Linked DNA regions of Mus musculus. The main gene of each other region encodes a partner of the protein of the gene in region 3 in a complex. Links are inferred from orthologs where the notes say so. Each region holds a gene or a part of one and is shown on either strand. Other genes may lie near its edges.

Region 1 (5,874 bases), on a different chromosome or scaffold from region 3:
GCCTTATTAGCCCCAACTATCTTTTTCTTTAAAAGTTTTATTTTATGTAAAGGGGTACTCTATCTGTATGTACAATTACATGCCAGAAGAGGGCATCAGATGACATTATAGATCATTATGAGCCACCACGTGGTTGCTGAGGGCTGAGCTTTCTCTGAAAGAGCAGATAGTGCTCTTACTACTGAGCCATCTCTCGGCCCTCACCAACTATCTTTTTATAAGCCTGAATATCTATCATCCAAAATGTGGAGCTATACAATAACCTCTTGAATGTTTTGTACTTTGTGAAAATAGCCTGAGAGGTGAAAAAATATCAAATACTGATTTCTCAGCCAAAGAAATGAAGTAAATTTTTCCATGCCCTCCAGGTGATAATTAGCACTCAGAAAGCTCTCTCTCTCTCTCTCTCTCTCTCTCTTTCTGTGTGTGTGTGTGTGTGTGTTTAAATGATAAACGCAATAAGCAAATTACACGGTGAGAAAGAGGTGTATGTATAATGCCCATAATTCAACACTTTTACTCACTAAAGTTAATGACCCTGGGCTTGCAAATTACATTTACCCTACTTCAGCTGTAGGCCTTCTGAGCTGTATGATCAAAAGCACTTGAGGGTGCCACCTTCAGTAGTAGTTTCTTACCCATTCCCCACGTGCAGCCCAGCTCATCATCTTGACCACTTCTACTGCTCTTCCCTTCAGTGGTATTTGCTTCTTCTTCTTCATCTGAGTCTTCACCTAACATCTTCTTCTCCAATAATATCTGCTGCTGTTTACGCAATTCCTTCAACTGTGTTACTGTTAATTCAGATTCTGCCTCTCGGTCTTCCTCTGGTCCCTAATGAATCATGGGTAAAATATATACATATATGGATTCAGAAGTGAGAAAATTACTTTCTGAGACACAGCAACGTACACAGACCTGTGGGTCCAGAATGAGGCCTGTGCTTTTGTCATTGGTTACCAGAATCCTTTTACTCAACTAAACCTTAAAGAAACTCAGAATCGCCGGGCGTGGCGGTGCACGCCTTTAATCCCAGCACTCGGGAGGCAGAGGCAGGCGGATTTCTGAGTTCGAGGCCAGCCTGGTCTACAGAGAGAGTTCCAGGACAGCCAGGGCTACATAGAGAAGCCCTGTCTTGAAAAACCAAAAACAGTGAAGTCCCAAGATTTTTATTTTAGATTTTTCTACCTACCTGAAGGATAAAGAGCCGAGTGCTGCCTCCAAAGCGCATTACATGCCCGACGTGGACTCTACAGTAAGTGCGGGGTGGGATGCGAGTTTTGTTGAGGAACGTGCCGTGGGTACTTCCCAGATCGTAGAGATAAAAGCCCTGCTCATGACCCTCAGAGTCTCCGCTGGGATCCGCCCCCCGGTGCTGTAGTACAGCATGGTACCGAGACACGGAAGGATGCTCCAGACATATGTCACAACTAGCAAGTCTCCCGAAAAAGCAGCAGCTCGTGTCTTTCAAGGTGCGGGTGCCAAGGATGGTGCCACCCTTCAGGGTTTCGAGACTGTAGGGGGCCGTGGCTGGGCTGCCCCACGATGGCTCTCGGTACGGAGGAGCCCGGGTCGGACCGCCAGACGCAGGAGCTACCCGCGGGGAGCGGAGTTGCTCCACCGGTGGACCCCCGGTCTCCTGGCTGTCCGGCTGCGGTGGCGGGACCTCGGGCTCCTCACATCCAGAGTCCAGCTGCGCCGCGAGACATTCTTTCTTCACATCCTCAGAAACGGAGGGACTGGAGGCCGGAGCCTTACCCCGTACTGCGGAAGGCACTGGTAAAACCGGCTTCTTAAACTCGCTACTGACTTCCTGGGGAGCTGGCGCATCTAGCTGAGGGGTAGGATCAGCCATCCTTAGCCGGGTGCAATCTCAAAATGTGTCCCTCGGAAACCCCGACCCCTCGCTCTCTACGTTCCCGCTCACTTCTCCTCCTCCTTCCCACCTCCCTGAGGCTTCTCTGGACAGAAATGTTGGAGTTCCTCTTTCAAGACTCGCAGAGTTTTAAAGATGTGAATAGCACTAGGGAGTCACAATACCAGAAAGCGGGGAGAGGCTCTCAGAGTGCTGTGCAGGATACGGACATTTTAGGCGTTGCATGTAGGCTAGTAATAACTTCCTGTGGCAGAGGGCGATTGGGAAGAAGTGCTTCCGTGGCCTTGGTCCATTAATCAATAAACAAGGCTCCTAGGCTTGACCTAGTCCTCGACTCCGACCTGTCAGAGTCAGGCAGCCGCGTATACCACTCCTGGGGCAGGGCGGTGAGTATTTGAACTTTATTTTCTGGTTCCGGTCCAGAGCCACCCATTTTCCTGCTGCCTTGTAAATCAGACTTCCCAGGATCCTGTGGTCGGCGCCTAAGCCTAAGCCTCCAGATCCGGAGCAAGGAGTCCCTATCTGCAGCTCTCGAATTTATTCCTTTTATGAAGTTAGTAAAGAAGCAATTTATTATTGTTCATTCTTTTATTACTCGGAACAAAATATTGAGATAGCATGTTTAGTGGCTTAACAAACCTGAGCATCGAAACCTCTTTTCTTTTTTACTCTTTGTATTTATGATGTTGGCATGACCCTGGACAACAGCTTCCACATCTGAAAAATTGGAAATAGTAGTGTTAATTTGTCATAAAATTTATGGAAAATTGAACTAAGCCATAGTTAATATTATAACTCTTTGACAGAGGCCTGAAACTATACCAAGATGGCAGCCATAACAAGTGGGAGAATACAGATGAATAAGTCAACTAAAGTTAAGGTTCAGGGATAAAAGCAAATTCATGTAAATATACAAAGAAAGGAGATCTGTTGGGGGGAATGGTGATTTCAGGGATCCTAAAGAACAAATTCAAGTCTGATAAAGATGTAGAGGGTTCCTGGCAGAGGTCACAACTCAAAGGGTCAATTATAAAAATATCTCATGTTCTTGAGAAGCTGAGTGGTGGAGCTGGAGAGATGGTTCTGTGTGCTGCTCTTCGGTGGATCTGAGCTCCATTTCCAGTACCCACATCAGGGGAGTTCACAACCACCTCTAATTTGAGCTCCAGAAGGATCTGATGCCCTCTTCAGATATCCTTGGCACCTGCATACACATGGAACACACAAGCATATACTCAACCCCCAACAGACAACAAAAACGAATGTCTGTGAATGCATAGCCTGCCTGGTCTACAGAGCAAGTTCCAGGATAGCCAAGGCCTCAAAGGGAAACCCTGTCTCGAAATTAATAATTTAAAAATACAATCTTAGCAAAGGAAATAAGCTGAGGGGCCAGTTAGATGGCTTAGTAGGTAAAAGGCACTTGCTGCCAAGTCCGAATGCCCGAGTTCAATCCATGGAACCCACATGGTGAAAGGAGAGAACTGCCTCTCACAAGTTGTCTTGTGATTTTTTCATGCACACATACCCAAAATAAGTAAATGTAAAAAAAAAAAAAAAAGAAAAGAAAGAAAGAGAAAGAAAGGAACTGAGTAGTATATTGTTAGAGCTGAGGGCATTCATTTTGTCCAGGAAGCCCCTCACTTGCCTGCAGGACACTGAACTCACGCCTTTAAAGTAGCAGTGCCAGCTGCTGCTATACTGCAGTATTTTGCTTCTGTTATTCCCTCAGGACAAAGATCTTACACCGTCACACAATGTATTCATTTGATGTTTGTTGGACCTGAGGAGACATATAGGCAGTAAACCTGGAGACGTGAATTAAAGACGCTTAGTAAGCTTTTATTGAATGCTAAGCCACAGAATTCTGACTTTTTCCAAGCAAAAGAAACAAACAAAAAAGCTTGGAAGTGTAGCTCAGTAATAAAAATACTTTTGTAGGATGTGTTAAATCTTCAGCATTGAGAGAATGAGAGACAGAGACACACAAAGAGAGACAGACAGAGAAAGGAAGAAAGTCTAGCAGCAGGGCCAAGTGTAGATCAGATTCTGAAAAAGACTGGAATAGCAGTTCTCAACCTTCCTAAAGGTCTGACCCTTTAATGTAGTTCCTCATGTTGTGGTGACCCCATGCAACCACAAAATTATTTTCATTGCTACTTCATAACTGTAATTTTGTTGCAGTTATGAATCCTATTGTAAATACCTTATATACAGGATACCTGATATTCCTTAACCTATGAAAGAGTCATTTGATCCCCAAAGGGGTTATGACCTACAGGTTGAGAACCACTGGACTAGAGGAAGGAATACTTGTTAGAAGGCAACAGAAGTCTCTCAGATTCATTCTGGGGAGACAGCTCAGTCCATTGCACGCATGAGGACCTGAGTTCAATCCCCAAACCCATATGTAAAAATCCAGGTATGGGTGCATGTGCTTATAAACTCAGCTTGTGGGGAGGAAAGCAGAAACAGTCAGATCCCTGGGACTCACTGGTGAAGGGCGTGGTTCTTATGTTAAGGTCTTATTCCCCAATTGGTTCTTTATTTGTCAGTAAAGAAAGCTGGGGGCCAATTGCTGGGAGGAAGGTACATGTGGGACTTCCAGGTTCCAGGAGGAAAAGGTAGCCACAAGGAAGGAGAGAGGTCTTTCTGCCATGCTTTGGAGGAAGAAGAATGCAGCAACCATGTGAGGTCTTGGGGGAGCTGAGGCCTGTGGCTGGGAACTGGGTGGCTGTGGATTTTTGGCAGGACATAGGTGGCACTAGCCACTGAAGTTTGGGGCAGGTGGAGAAACAGCTAAAAATATTAATAAGGTCATGCTTTTCTAGGCAAGAGACAGTAACACCCAGCGATTGTGCCAAGAAGGCAAGTTATAAAAGAATAAACTATGTGTGTGCACGCGTGCGTGTGTGTGCGCGTGTGTGTGCGTGTGTGTGTGTGTGTGTGTGTGTGTCTTTTATCCACAGATTCAAGGGAAGCTGGGTGGGGAGCTAGGAGCTCGGCTTTTCCCAGAGCAAAGTCGGTAGAATAGAAGTACAGGCAATACACTGGCTTAGAATAATCAGCAAATCCTACACTCCAGCGAGAGATCCTATCTCAAAAAGCAAGGTGGAATGTTGCCTGAGGCTGATTCCTGGCCTCCATGCACACGCCCACCGAGACCCTCTATTTGTTCATGTGTATGTCAGAATTTGGAAGCATAAGGCTAGATTAAAGGTTCATGAATGTTTCTACCATACACGGCACAGGTTAAAAAACACCTACTAGTATTTTTTGTCTTGTTTCGTTTTATTTTTTGAGATATGGTTTCTCTGTGTAGCCCTGGCTGTCCTGGAAATTACTCTGTAGATCAGGCTAACCTTGAACTCAGATCTGCCTGCCACTGCCTCCTGAGTGCTGGAAGAAAGGAGTGCACCACCATATCTGGCTGCCTGTTAGTAGTTTTAATGCTGCTCTCTTTTTCCTATTAGTCTAGCACAATTGTGTAGAAATACTCTGGAAGTAGTCCAGACCTCCTACTTTAGTTTTATGCCTTGTCACATATTTAGAATGAGGCATGATGGGTATTCTGGTGATGAATTTGTGACGTGAAATAGGCAGTGTATATGTTAAGAGCCCCACACACCAATTACTACTCTTCACCTATTAGTTACTTTGATTTTCCTTTTGTAATTCAAAGAGGAGTTGTCGCTGTGTGATTGGCATCTAACAGTTATTTTTCTCTTCGTTTCTTCAGGGAGAGTATTGTCTGTCCTAGAGTTTTGCTAGCACCTTTTTAAAGTGATCTTAGCTTGCTTCTTATGTGGGAACTGCCTAGACTTCCTACTTTTCACTGCAGAAGCTTCTGATCTACAGTTGCCAGAGACGGAAGCACACACCTTTAGGAGATCGTTTACATTAAGCTGGAGAGCCCTTCTCTGCTTGCTCTAAAATGCTGAGGTACTGGGGAGAGATACCAATACCGTCAGGACAGACCAACAGAAGTTCCTTTGATC
Region 2 (5,821 bases), on a different chromosome or scaffold from region 3:
CTACTGCCCCTTGCATATAGATTTTGAGGAGGGGAGGAGACTTTTTAGCTCCACCCACTTCAGTCTTAAGAGCTCTGCACTTGAAAACAGCTACCTGAAAGATGTGTGGCTCCCACACTGGGCTCTGCAGCAAGGAATGAAGGGACTGGTGGGCACAGACCCTAAACCCTGCACCTGTAACTTAAGTCTTGGTGGCTCAGGGGCTGTGTCATTAGCAGATGCTTAAGAATGGAAGGAGGCTGTGTACCGTGGTACCAAGAGGCCTGTGAGCTCCAGAGCCTGGGCTTTGCTATGGCTCTCATTGTTGTGCTCCCTGTCACCTAATGGCTTCGGGGTACAGGCTACTGTACACCTAACTGGTGGGTCCCATTAACCGGCATCAAGAGGATTAGCAAGAACCTTCTGATCCTTTGGTCCACTTTAAAATCTTCAAACCATTATCAAGAGTAAAGAATTCTGTGACTTGTGGCTGGGGGCTGTGACTAAGTAGTGTCCCACTCACTCAGGATGATGCTCTTGGCCCTGAACGTGTTCTCCTGTGTCAAAAGAAGACTCGTGGGTTTTATTTACAACTGTGAATTTCTGTTCCTTCTAGTGTGTGTCAAGCCTATACTGGCTTCTAGCACCCAACCTGCTTCCTCATTGTCTCTTTCTTTTTACTGGCTTTCCAAATCTGGAGGCTGATGTTCAAGAACAAAATTTCTGTTATTTAAGGATTCCCAAGCACACTTTGCAAGTGAGGGCACTGTGGGGTTTGTTTGTTTGTTTTGTTTTTTGGCTTCAAGGCGCACAGTTCCTTAGGTAGACTATTGCTTAGAGGACAGCTGGGGTAGGGTGGGGTTTGTATAGTAGTTATATAACTCATTTAGTTTAAAAGGCTGGGACAGGATCAGCACACAGGCTGAGAGTTTATACTCTGCTTTTGAGAGAATAGTTCTCACCTCACCTTTTTGATACAGGGCCCCACAAGACCCCCAGGCTGGCCTCCAACTAAATGCATAACAAAGGTTGAACTCCTTTTCCTCCTGCCTTCATCTTCCGAGTGCATGGAGGGTGTGTGTGGGTAGTAAAAGCTGGTGGGAAGAGTCTCTTTCAAGGCACGAAAGGAAAAAAAAAAAATTACAGTGTCAAATTCCTCATTCCCCAGTGCTGGATCTGTGCAGACCGTGGCAAGTCTCTTCAGAGGTGACGATGATTCTAGGAAGGTCAGTTGCGTTGAGGTCCCCAACAAGCTTTGCCATCTGGAATTTGTTTTCGGCCTTTTCAAAAAAAAAAAAAAAAAAAAGGAAAGACGAAATCCATAGCGATGTCCAATAAGACGGCCTTTTGGTTAAGAAAACACCCAGAAAGAAAGGGGAGAAATGGTAACGAAAATGTTCCTACAAAGTGCCAGCAAGCATCAGTTTAGAGGATTTACAACCAACCCCCCCCTCCCCCACGAGAAAAGTAAATAAAGAACAAATCAGCTTCCGGATGTCCAGCTTCGTCCGGGGTGTGCACGGCCCTCGTACTAACCGCTGTAAGTCAGGGGAGCTGACCCGTCGTGTCCGCGGCGTCCTCTGCGCACCTCTCCGCCCCGAAAGCGCCTTCGTGCCAGGACTCCTGCTCCTCTCTGACCGCCGGGGCCCCGGGAGCGCCCGCGCAGCTGTCACCGCCCGCCCTGGCCGCAGCCATTTTGGAAGGGTGCAGACAAAGGGCGAACCCCGCAGCCGGCTGCCGCGACCCACCCGGCGCCTAGAGCCGCCGCTCTCCCGGCCCCGCTGCCATTCCCACCAGCGCTCCAACAGCCGACCAGCACCCAGCGCCTAGCCTGCTCCCCGGCCTCTGGCGCTCGCAGCCATTGGCCGCGTCTTTTAAGAGCCCGCCGCAGCCAATCGGAGGCCACAGGGGCGCGGGCGTGGGCGGTGCGTGTCGGCGCGCCTGCGCAGTGGGCCGCCCCTCCCCCCTCCCTGCGCGCCGCGCCCCCGCCCGCCCCGCGCACCGCCCCCCGCCCCGCTGGAACCTCCTCCTGCCCAGGCGCGCTCGGCCGAGCGGCGGCGGCGGCGGCGGCGAGGAGGAAAGATGGCGGCGGGCTCGGATCTGCTGGACGAGGTCTTCTTCAACAGCGAGGTGGACGAGAAAGTGGTGAGCGATCTGGTGGGCTCGCTCGAGTCGCAGCTGGCGGCCAGCGCGGCCCACCACCACCACCTCGCGCCGCGCACGCCCGAGCTGCGGGCCGCGGCCGCCGGCGCGCTCGGGAACCATGTTGTGAGCGGCAGCCCGGCCGGAGCCGCGGGCGCAGGGCCGGCCGCCTCCGCCGAGGGCGCGCCCGCAGCGGCGCCGGAGCCGCCCCCCGCAGGTAGAGCGCGGCCGGCGGGTGGGGGCCCGCGGCGCCCGGGCTCCAGCTCACCGCGCCGCTTGCTTGTCCCCGCAGGGCCCGCGCCGGCGCCCGCCAAGCTGAGGCCGCTGCCCGAGGCCAGCGCGGGGCCCTGCCCCGCCGCCGCTGCCGCTGCCGCCGCCACCGCCGCCGCCGTCGCGGGGCCGGATCCCGCCGCCGCCGCCCCACCCGCCGGCCCCGGCGCCTCCAAGCCCGGCCCGCCTGGCCCGCCCGGCCCCGGCGCCGCGCAAACTTTGAATGGGAGCGCCGCGCCGCCCACCGCGCCGCACGCCGCACCTGCTGTCAGCCCGGTCAACAACGGGCCCGCGCCGCCGCCCGCCGCCGGCTCTGTCATCCAGGCGGCCCCCGCGCCCGCCGCGCCCTCGCCGCCCGCCGCGCCCGCGCCCGCCGCGCCCCCGCCGCCCGCGCCCCCAGCGCCTGTCGCGCCAGCCCGGCCGCCCGGGCACCCCGCCGCGCCCGCGCCCCCCGTGTCACCCGCTGCCGCTGCCGCCGCCGCCGCCGCTGCCGCCGCCGCGCAGAACGGGGCCGCTCCTGCCCCCGCCGCGGCCTCCGGGGGCGCCGCGGGGTTGGGCCAGCCGGGCGCGGGCGCGCAGGGGGCCAAGGCCGAGGCGCCCAAGCCCGGACCGGGGCCCGGGCCGGGGCCGGCGGCGGCGGCGGCGGCGGCGGGGGTCGCGGGCGGGGGCGCGGCGGGCAGTGTGCTGCTCGGGCCCGCCATGCCGGGCGCGCTGCCGGGGCCTGCGCCCGGGACCCCCGCGGGGCTGGCGAAGGGTGCGGCCGCGGCGACCCCCAGCCTGCCTCGGACGCCGGCGGCCACCACCGGCGCTATCCGGGCCACGCTGACGCCCACCGTGCTGGCCCCGCGCCTGCCGCAGCCGCCGCAGAACCCGACCAACATCCAGAACTTCCAGCTGCCCCCAGGTGAGTGGCAGCGCGCGGCGGGAGGCCGAGGGCGGGTGCACCAGGCTGCCCTGGCGTTCCAGGAAGTTCTGGGCTGCATTCTGGGACCGTGCCCTAGTCGGGTGGCCCGAGAGGCCGAGGGGCGGCCCCTGCCCAGGTGACCTGCCAGTTTTGAGGGCGTCCCAGTCCTGGAGCTCCCAGATCCCTCGGGGAACTCTGCTGTCCCATTCGGATGCTCTGGGCTACCACCGTATAGCCGAGGGGCCCTTCTCTCTCCTTCCTCAGGTGAGGTCAAGAGAGGGCGAACCGACTACTCACGGGCATGCTAATGAAGTCTGTGGAAGGCGGCATGGGCTTTCCTGTTGCCAGGGAAGCCGGTTGGGGACTCCATGCTGGGAGCAGGCGTTTAGTGGTCATCAGTGCCTGAAAGTGGACCCTGGGTGTTTTTTGTTGTTGCCATCCCTGGAGGTCAGTAGGACACTTAGTGCGTAGGGGTCTGCGGATGCAGGAGATCATGGTGATGTGGATTCTGGGACACAGGAGCTGTCTCGGCTCTTGCAGATTCCACACATGTTCTGACTCTGTTGTCCTCGAATTCCTAAGGGTCCCTTGGGTTTGTCGAGTGGCTCCTTTCCTCGCTTGTAGCCTGCTTTTGTTTGAGAGTCCTCTGCAGGAGTGTTCCCACAGAACCCTGGGCCGGAGCAAGCCCTGTGCGCTCCTCCGGTATTACACGGTGACATGTGCAAGCAGTAGTAGCAGCGCCGCCCGCCCGCCCGCCCGCCGCGGTGGCAGTAGTAGAGAATTAGAAAACATGCTGCTACTGTGTCCTCTCCTGTTTTCTTAAAAGTGGTTTGGGTCACGTTGAAAGACCTACAGCATCTTTAGAATTGGGTTTTGCTGTGGAAGTCAATGAGGATTGGGAAGGCTCATCAAAGGTCCAGAGATACCTGCCCTATCTATGGGGATATAGGACCCAGAAGTGTTTGAGAGGTTGCAGGGGCTGCCATGCTCTGAGGAGGCGCTGGGTGTGACATAAGGCCTAGGAACTGCAGATGTCTCTTGCCACACATCTGGGGTTTGCTGAGAAGTGAGCAGGGTGTGTGTGTGTGTGTGGGGTGGCTGTGTGTGTGTGTGTTTTGTGTGTGAAATTGAAATGCCTTGTTCATTATCTTCATTCTGACCTCTGGGTGGAAAGTATGGCTGATATTTATAGTTTAAGATGCATTTTGTGCTTGTAGTCTGCTGTTCGAAATGCCACAGTACTTTAACACGGACTTCCCCAATGCAAGTATGTGCCCACATTGTCCTTTTATCAGGAAAGCTGGCTTAGTCAGGTGCCCATGGCATCCTTCCATAGCAATCCTGGCTTACCCTGGCTCCTTTGCTTTTGAGTGCTGCACAAGTGAAGTCCGTCTCCCTGGGAGAAGGACGATGTCATTTGAAAAGGGCATTGGCTGCTGTCTGCACCACTGCTGCCTCCTTTTCCAGGTCAGGTTCAGAGTTGGCGTGTAGAGCAGAAGATAACTCCTTGGGGGAAATGTAAACATGTTCATTATTTGCACGTCTCTGCGTCTGCGTCTGCATCAGCCCCCATGCTTGTGCTGGAGAGTAGGGCAGAGTCTGGTGTGTAGCAGACACCCAGAGCTCTGCTTCAAAGTCCCACATGCTTTCTAAAAAAGAGAAAACTCACACCCATCCTCTGTACCCCTGGCTTCTGTTGCTGTTTTGATAAGGAGTGCTGATTGATTACCTTACTTTAAAAACACCCAAAGCTAAGCTAATGTTTGGTGCTTAAAACCATTACCACCAGTGCTAGAAAACCGACATCTTTTTAAACAAGACGGGGAGGCGTAGTCAGAGGATGCAAGCATCCTAGTTTTGTCCTGTAACTGCGTAGGCAGAACTTTTTCTAACTGATGTTCCTCCTTCATTGATAGCTTTTATAATAAAATATACTCAGGAAAGATGAAAATAGGTTCTAATAAAACGTTGTTTAGCCAATAGCAGCCTTTGCACGGTAAAGTGGAGAGAGAGGGGGAGGCAGGTTTCAAGGCTACACATAGGTGTCAAGTGGAATAGCATACCATTGGCAGTTGAGAGGAGTGTGAAAAGGGCTGAGTCCCTCCCAGTGCCCTCATGAGAGAGGTCATGCTGGGGGAGGGGAGGGACACAGGCTTCACCCTGAGGTCTGTGAGATCAAGTTTAATCTTCAGCATTCACCAGGAACTTCTAATAAGTACCTTGAACTTGTTTTTTAATTTCTTTTATTTTTTTAAGCAACCGGAGCCCCGATCTTCCCTGTCAGGACAAGTTTCTAAAGGGACTGGGATGTTACTGTGGTTGTGACTTGCTGGTGGTTTGCTGGTGCCAAAGTCTAAGTTTGATCCACAATGAGAGCTTTAGATAGTTCTCAGATTGCTGGATGGCAGGTGCACATGTCAGGAGGAGATAGAGGCATGTCACAGTGTGACTATAGTTGTCAAAAGGGCAGGTGAGAGAACCTCAGAGTTAGTGTGTGCTCTGGTGACTTTGAGAGTTCTGGGTGAG
Region 3 (5,854 bases):
ACAGCTCAACTGGGCGAGAATCACAAGGGCTAACAGAGGGCAACATATAAAACTAGCTAGTCTTAAAAATAATCTAGACTGTCTAAAGAAACTGGTTTTGACCAGATACAGGATCAGGACGGTTCTACAATGAGAAAAAGTAAAAGCTGTCCATTCTCAGTGGACAAGGTCAGCTACAATGACCAGCTACATTATCTCGGGCAAGGCTTCTCTCCCCCCAGGGCTTATCACATGCTGGAGCATCCATCACCTGCAGCCCTTCCTCCCCGCAGCTTAGCTCAGCCTCTCAGAGCTCAGCTCAGTGGAGAAGGCCCCTTCCTTCCTCAAAGTGGCCTTTTTGACTTCCCCCTCAATGCATTTCTTACAGTTTATGGTATGTTCACTTTACATAAAATTCACAACAGAACGTTAGGAATAAATTTTTCCTTCACCAGTTTGTAATTCTCGTGGTCTACAGACATCAACTTCTATTCAGTTGTCAGGTTGTATCTAGCCCAGCACCTCCTATACATCAGGTCAAACCAATTTTCTGGAGAGTAAATGAACAAATGAACTAACTTAAGCAGGGCTAGATTTACACAAGAGCATTAAGACTTTCCAAACTGGTAACGAGTGCAAGGTTTCTGTATGTGAAAACTGCTTTAAATTGCACAGATCAGGCTGCAATGGCAGGCTGGGATAAAACCCTAGACAGTCTAGAATGCTTTCCACTGAGTTTTTCTCTCAATGTAGCAGGAAGCATTGGGACTTTCTGAGAAGGAAGTTACAGGGCTACCGCTGCACAGAGGCTCTCTGGAGGACGGGATGGAGAAGGAAGTGAGACTTGTGGCAGAGAAGAGGCACAGGCTGCGTGGGGCAGCGGAGACAAGCACAGGATCACGGACAGACAAACATCAGACAGAGGGGATAAAGGCTAAAAAACAGCTGTCATGTAGTTCAGCAGTGGGTTCTAGCTCCATACCACAGCATTCTCTTATGTCAACCAAGAAGAGGCAAAACCGGAAAGGCAAAATTAGTTGTGTGCGGTGACAAGTACCGTTGGGAAAGTGATAGAATATTCTTTTCTCTACCTCGATTGTGGCTACCTGATTATTTTGTCAAGGTTCATTGAAAGAAAACTAAATTTTAGATGACCAGCCCTGTGATAGTTACCCTTTAGTGGCTTGAAGAAATTGTACAATAAACTTGAATGCTTAAAAACGCAAAGTCAAAACTCAGTCAGCAGGAAATGGCTTTCACGCTAAGGAATGAAACCAGTTAGGACTAACACTGGAGCAAGCTTTAAAAAGTGACTTTTGAAAAAGAGGGTCTAATTTCAAAGTCTCTTCCCTGAGAGCATTCCCGGGCGTGCAACAAGCAGTCCAGCCTTTAGAACTCAGGTCGTCAAGGGCTGACCAGAGAAAGTAGTGGGAAGCCTGGGACCTTTCGGAGAACAACTGCACGGAGCACCCACAGATCCCAAACCCGAGCATGAAAGAGGAGGACCAGCGGCCATCAACATTTACACACGTTAAGGTCAACACGGTTCTGCACATCTAGGAAGGAGTCTGAATGCAGGCAAGCAACACAGAACCTTCATTGGGAGCTGGAAGGCAAGGCTTCCAGGAAGCGCCAAGAAGTAAGAAGATGAAGTGGACACTTGCCTCGAGGTCCCGTGAGACCGCGAAGGCAGGCAGGGACAGGGGGTTGTACTTAGCCAACCTCTACCGTGGACGGAGAGGAGGCCCCGCAGAGCGGTCCTACCTCAGCTGCAAGCCACCACCACGGGCTTCGCAGCCCGGTCTCCTGCCCCCTCCGAACATCGGGGAGAGGTCATTCTAGCCCGGGATTCCCAACCTGGAAGCTTCCGGGCCTGCTCTTGCTCAGAGAGCCTCCTGGCTCGCCCCTTCCTCCTCGCCTCGGCCCTCGCCCCACCCTTTGCCTCTCCATCCTCCCCGTGCCTCCTCATCCCGGGGCAACCTCGGGCCGCAAGCCCTAGCGGCAAGCAGCATCTCCCCCAGACCCACAGCCTCTACAGGCAAAACACAGGGAGGACCCCAACCCCTGGTCTCTCACCATCGCGGGCGCTGTCTGGGCCGGAAAGCGGAAGTGCGGAAGTGCCCGGACCCGCGACGCCTGCCCTTTCGAGAGAGGCGCAGCCGCAGTCTCCGACAGCACTTCCGGGCTGGACCATCTCGGGTAGGACCGGGGAGGGAGAGCCGAGAGATATTCAGATCTCCGGGGCGATTTCACACTGGGACCTCTGGGACTTGTAGAAGACCTGCTATGAGACAGTAGCGGTCGAGTCCCCTTGGATCGCTACACATATTCCGCCAGCGCCTTTAGTGCTTGTCGCTTTGGTTGTAGCCTCCCCCCGTGTGACAATAGTACAGCCCGACCTCAGGTTGGGCACCAAATTAGGACAGGCCGAACCGGAGAAACGTTTCTTCCGGTGGTGCTCCCCTATCCTCTCCGGGCTCCTCCCATTTGCAACCGTAGGGTTCGGCCGGGTAGCCAGTCCCTTGAGATTTGGGCTCTGGGCCCCACCCCAGCCCCGGGCTGCTTCCTAGCCCGGGACTCCTCAGGCCTAGCATTCCACCTCCCGGAGATTCGTAGGTGGCCTTAGACCCCCACCCCCACCCCGGCCCTACAGGCCACCTTGGGCTGGCCGTCCCCGCCCTCGCGTCAACTGCAGGGGGCCCGCCCATAGCCAGTTCCGGAGCAGTTGCTCCGATCGCCCTGAACTCCCCGCCCCCTCCTGCGGCCCAGGGCCTGTAGGAGGCCGCAGAGAGGAGGTAGGAGAGGCGGGGGTTGTGTTAGGGGCTCCCTAGAGGACGAGGACCCTGGAGGCGGGATCTTGGGGCGACACACAGGTGGAGCCAGCCATTAAGCAGTCCCACTTCTGTGCCAGGCACTGAACTGGGCACTTGACGAGCATCACCTCTTAATCCTCAGAACATTCCAGGGAGGTAGGTAATTCTCGATGCCCCCATTTTACAGATTTATACTTCTTAATGGGGAAATAGACTGAGGCATCATCTTTTGTCCTGGAAAAAAGAAAAACAAACAAACAAACAAACAAAAACCGGAGATTCAGGTTAAATAACATGTTTAGAAACGCACATAAGAAAATGGGCTGGAACTTAGTTCTGTTCACCTGACCAGCCTGTGTTCCAAACTAGCCAGGGACACAGAGAAGGTGCAGAGGTGGAATGGAGTGAGACAAGAGGAGGCAGGGAGAACCCTGTCAAATAGAATGCTAGAAACGACCCAACGTAGGGAAACAGAGGACATAGGAAGACAGGGCACACTAGTATCTCCTCTTCCTTAATGCTGCAGATTCCAGACTTCTGCGGTTCAAATTGCAACTAGGAGGCCGGCCTAATCATGCAGGTTTGTACACCTAGTGACTTGGGAGGCTAAAGCAGGTGGATCATAAGTTCAAGGCCTGGAATTCATGAAAGGGGGGGGGGGCTGGATGTAACTGTAACATAATTAAGTTTGGAGAATTTGTGCCTAGAATGAACAAGCGCTTGTATAAATCAGGTGTGGTACATGCCTAAAATTCCATCTCTTGGGAGGTGGAGACAAAACCTTGGCTACATAGCTAGTTTGAGACCAACCTGAGTGCATATCTTTATCCCAGCACTCAGAGGCAGGTGCTTTCTGGGGTGGGGGTCGGGAGGGGGAGCTCTATGAATCCTGATCTATGTAGCAAATGAGTATCAGGCCACTCAAGACTACATAATGAGATTTTTGTCTCCCCCACCCCAAAATGGGGGTGAGGTAGGGTCTGGAGATGTGTGAGACCCTTCAGTGCTACCAAAACAAAAAAAGACAATAAATTGCAGTTAGGAGTCTAGGCATGTGTACATACTCTTCTGGAGTCTTTTTCCTTTCTTTGTCAAAAGAAAGAAACCAGGCAGTGGTGGCACACGCCTTTAATCCCAGTAGAGGCAGGTGATCTCTGAATTGAAGGCCAGCCTGGTCTATAGAGTTCATTCCAGGCCAGCCAGAGTTGTTATACAGAGAAATTATGTTGAATGAATGAATGAATGAATGAATGAATGAAAAGCATGGCAAAAGGCCCCCCTTTTAAGGTTATGTGCATAATTCAGTGAAGTCAACCTAGCTTGGGGTACAGTCAGGGCTCTGTTGGGTCTCTCTCCCCATGCTACTTTGTCTCCTATCCAATGGCCTTCTCCCCTCTAATTTTACAGGGTCCCACCTCCTGGGCCATGAGCGAGCTGAAGGACTGTCCACTGCAGTTTCATGACTTCAAGTCTGTGGACCACCTGAAGGTCTGTCCCCGCTACACGGCAGTGCTGGCCCGCTCCGAGGACGATGGCATTGGCATTGAGGAGCTGGACACCCTGCAGCTGGAGCTTGAGACTCTGCTGTCCTCTGCAAGCCGGAGACTGCGTGTACTGGAAGCTGAAACCCAGGTGATTGTCCATGGGGGGCATCCACTAGAGACATTGTGTCAAGTTATGGGATGGATCCTTAGGTTCCCTCTCTGCTGAGGCCCAGGGATGGATGGGAAGAGAGACCCACATGGGAATCATGACAGAATAGTTAGCTCTCAGTTCAGCTTACCGTTAGCCAAGGATGCTATCCGACTGTAGGTGGACACCGCCCACGTGTGGCCCCTGAAGTTGCCTGGGAACTTTCTGAGATGCACTGTGATACAGTCAGTTGCATAGACAGAACCACCGGGTGCCTTGGAGTGTGACATAAAGGTTAGCTGGGAGTCTTGTTCACCACCACCAAAAAACCCAGCAGCAGCAGATTTCCCCAGGACTACCATGCCAAACCGTTTGTGACTAGCTTGGGCGGCAGCAGAAGTGAATCAGAATGTAGACCTCCGGTTAAATTCATGTGAGAAAATCACAGAGAAGAACAGGCATTTTGAAATATGAGTAGTTTGCTTAATAACCTCAAATTCTAGATCTCAGTTATCCATGGCGGGGAAAGAAGTGCCCTGTCTCTTCTCTCCGTCTCAGGGGTTGTCTTTGTGTGTTTCAGATCCTTACTGACTGGCAGGATAAGAAAGGGGACCGACGATTCCTGAAGCTAGGTCGCGACCACGAGCTCGGTGCTCCCCCCAAACACGGAAAGCCCAAGAAGCAGAAACTGGAAGGGAAGACAGGACATGGGCCAGGCCCTGGCCCGGGACGACCCAAATCCAAAAACGTCCAACCCAAGATCCAGGAATATGAATTTACTGATGACCCAATCGACGTGCCTCGGATCCCCAAGAATGATGCTCCCAACAGGTTCTGGGCCTGAGCACGTAGCAGGGAGCTGGAGGGGCCCAGAGACTTGTGGTGGAGGCTTGGAAGGCCCGGGGCTAAGGCTGAAGGAGCATCTCACCCACTCCGGGTCTGCTTCTGCCTGTAGGTTCTGGGCCTCTGTGGAGCCCTATTGTGCCGACATCACCAGTGAGGAGGTACGGACACTAGAGGAGCTCCTGAAGCCCCCAGAAGATGAAGCTGAACATTATAAGGTAGAAACCTGAGCCGCACAGTCAGTACGACAGGGCTCAAAGGCGCCTGAGGGTCCTAGGCAGCAAAGCCTGCATCCATCACCTACTTTCTTCCCAGCCTCCTGCCTGCTCCATGACCCCTGCAGACAGTGAGGCTCAGCTTTCTCTGTCCTCTAGCCTTTCTCCAAAGAGCCTCTGAACACTCTCCTTGCTTTTACACTTGGGCGATACTTACTTTCTTTAACTATAAAAGTTAAGTTCCGCTGGGCGTGGTGGCGCACGCCTTTAATCCCAGCACTCAGGAGGCAGAGGCAGGCAAATTTCTTGAGTTCAAGGCCAGCCTGGTCTACAGAGTGAGTTCCAGGACAGCCAGGGCTACACAGAGAAACC

Evidence for each region.
Region 1: Tada3 (region 3) and Supt7l share a complex: the UniProt entries of both Homo sapiens proteins name them as parts of the STAGA transcription coactivator-HAT complex. The link is inferred for Mus musculus from reciprocal best matches to the Homo sapiens genes TADA3 and SUPT7L.
Region 2: Tada3 (region 3) and Taf4 share a complex: the UniProt entries of both Homo sapiens proteins name them as parts of the TFTC-HAT complex. The link is inferred for Mus musculus from reciprocal best matches to the Homo sapiens genes TADA3 and TAF4.

Annotation. Positions count from the first base shown.
Region 1 is NC_000071.6:31,523,003-31,528,876, reverse strand, and holds the start of Supt7l (STAGA complex 65 subunit gamma), read left to right. Parts: upstream 1-2,114; 5' UTR 2,115-2,262; intron 2,263-5,615; 5' UTR 5,616-5,810; coding exon 5,811-5,874. Other genes in the region: Slc4a1ap (kanadaptin), read right to left, coding at 639-834, 1,193-1,855.
Region 2 is NC_000068.7:179,972,887-179,978,707, reverse strand, and holds the start of Taf4 (transcription initiation factor TFIID subunit 4), read left to right. Parts: upstream 1-2,061; coding exon 2,062-3,295; intron 3,296-5,821. UniProt on the Homo sapiens protein: The TFIID basal transcription factor complex plays a major role in the initiation of RNA polymerase II (Pol II)-dependent transcription.
Region 3 is NC_000072.6:113,374,410-113,380,263, reverse strand, and holds the start of Tada3 (transcriptional adapter 3), read left to right. Parts: upstream 1-2,425; 5' UTR 2,426-2,948; intron 2,949-3,318; 5' UTR 3,319-3,366; coding exon 3,367-3,372; intron 3,373-4,199; coding exon 4,200-4,424; intron 4,425-5,004; coding exon 5,005-5,255; intron 5,256-5,379; coding exon 5,380-5,485; intron 5,486-5,854. Other genes in the region: Arpc4 (actin-related protein 2/3 complex subunit 4), read right to left, coding at 2,056-2,058. UniProt on the Homo sapiens protein: Functions as a component of the PCAF complex. The PCAF complex is capable of efficiently acetylating histones in a nucleosomal context. The PCAF complex could be considered as the human version of the yeast SAGA complex.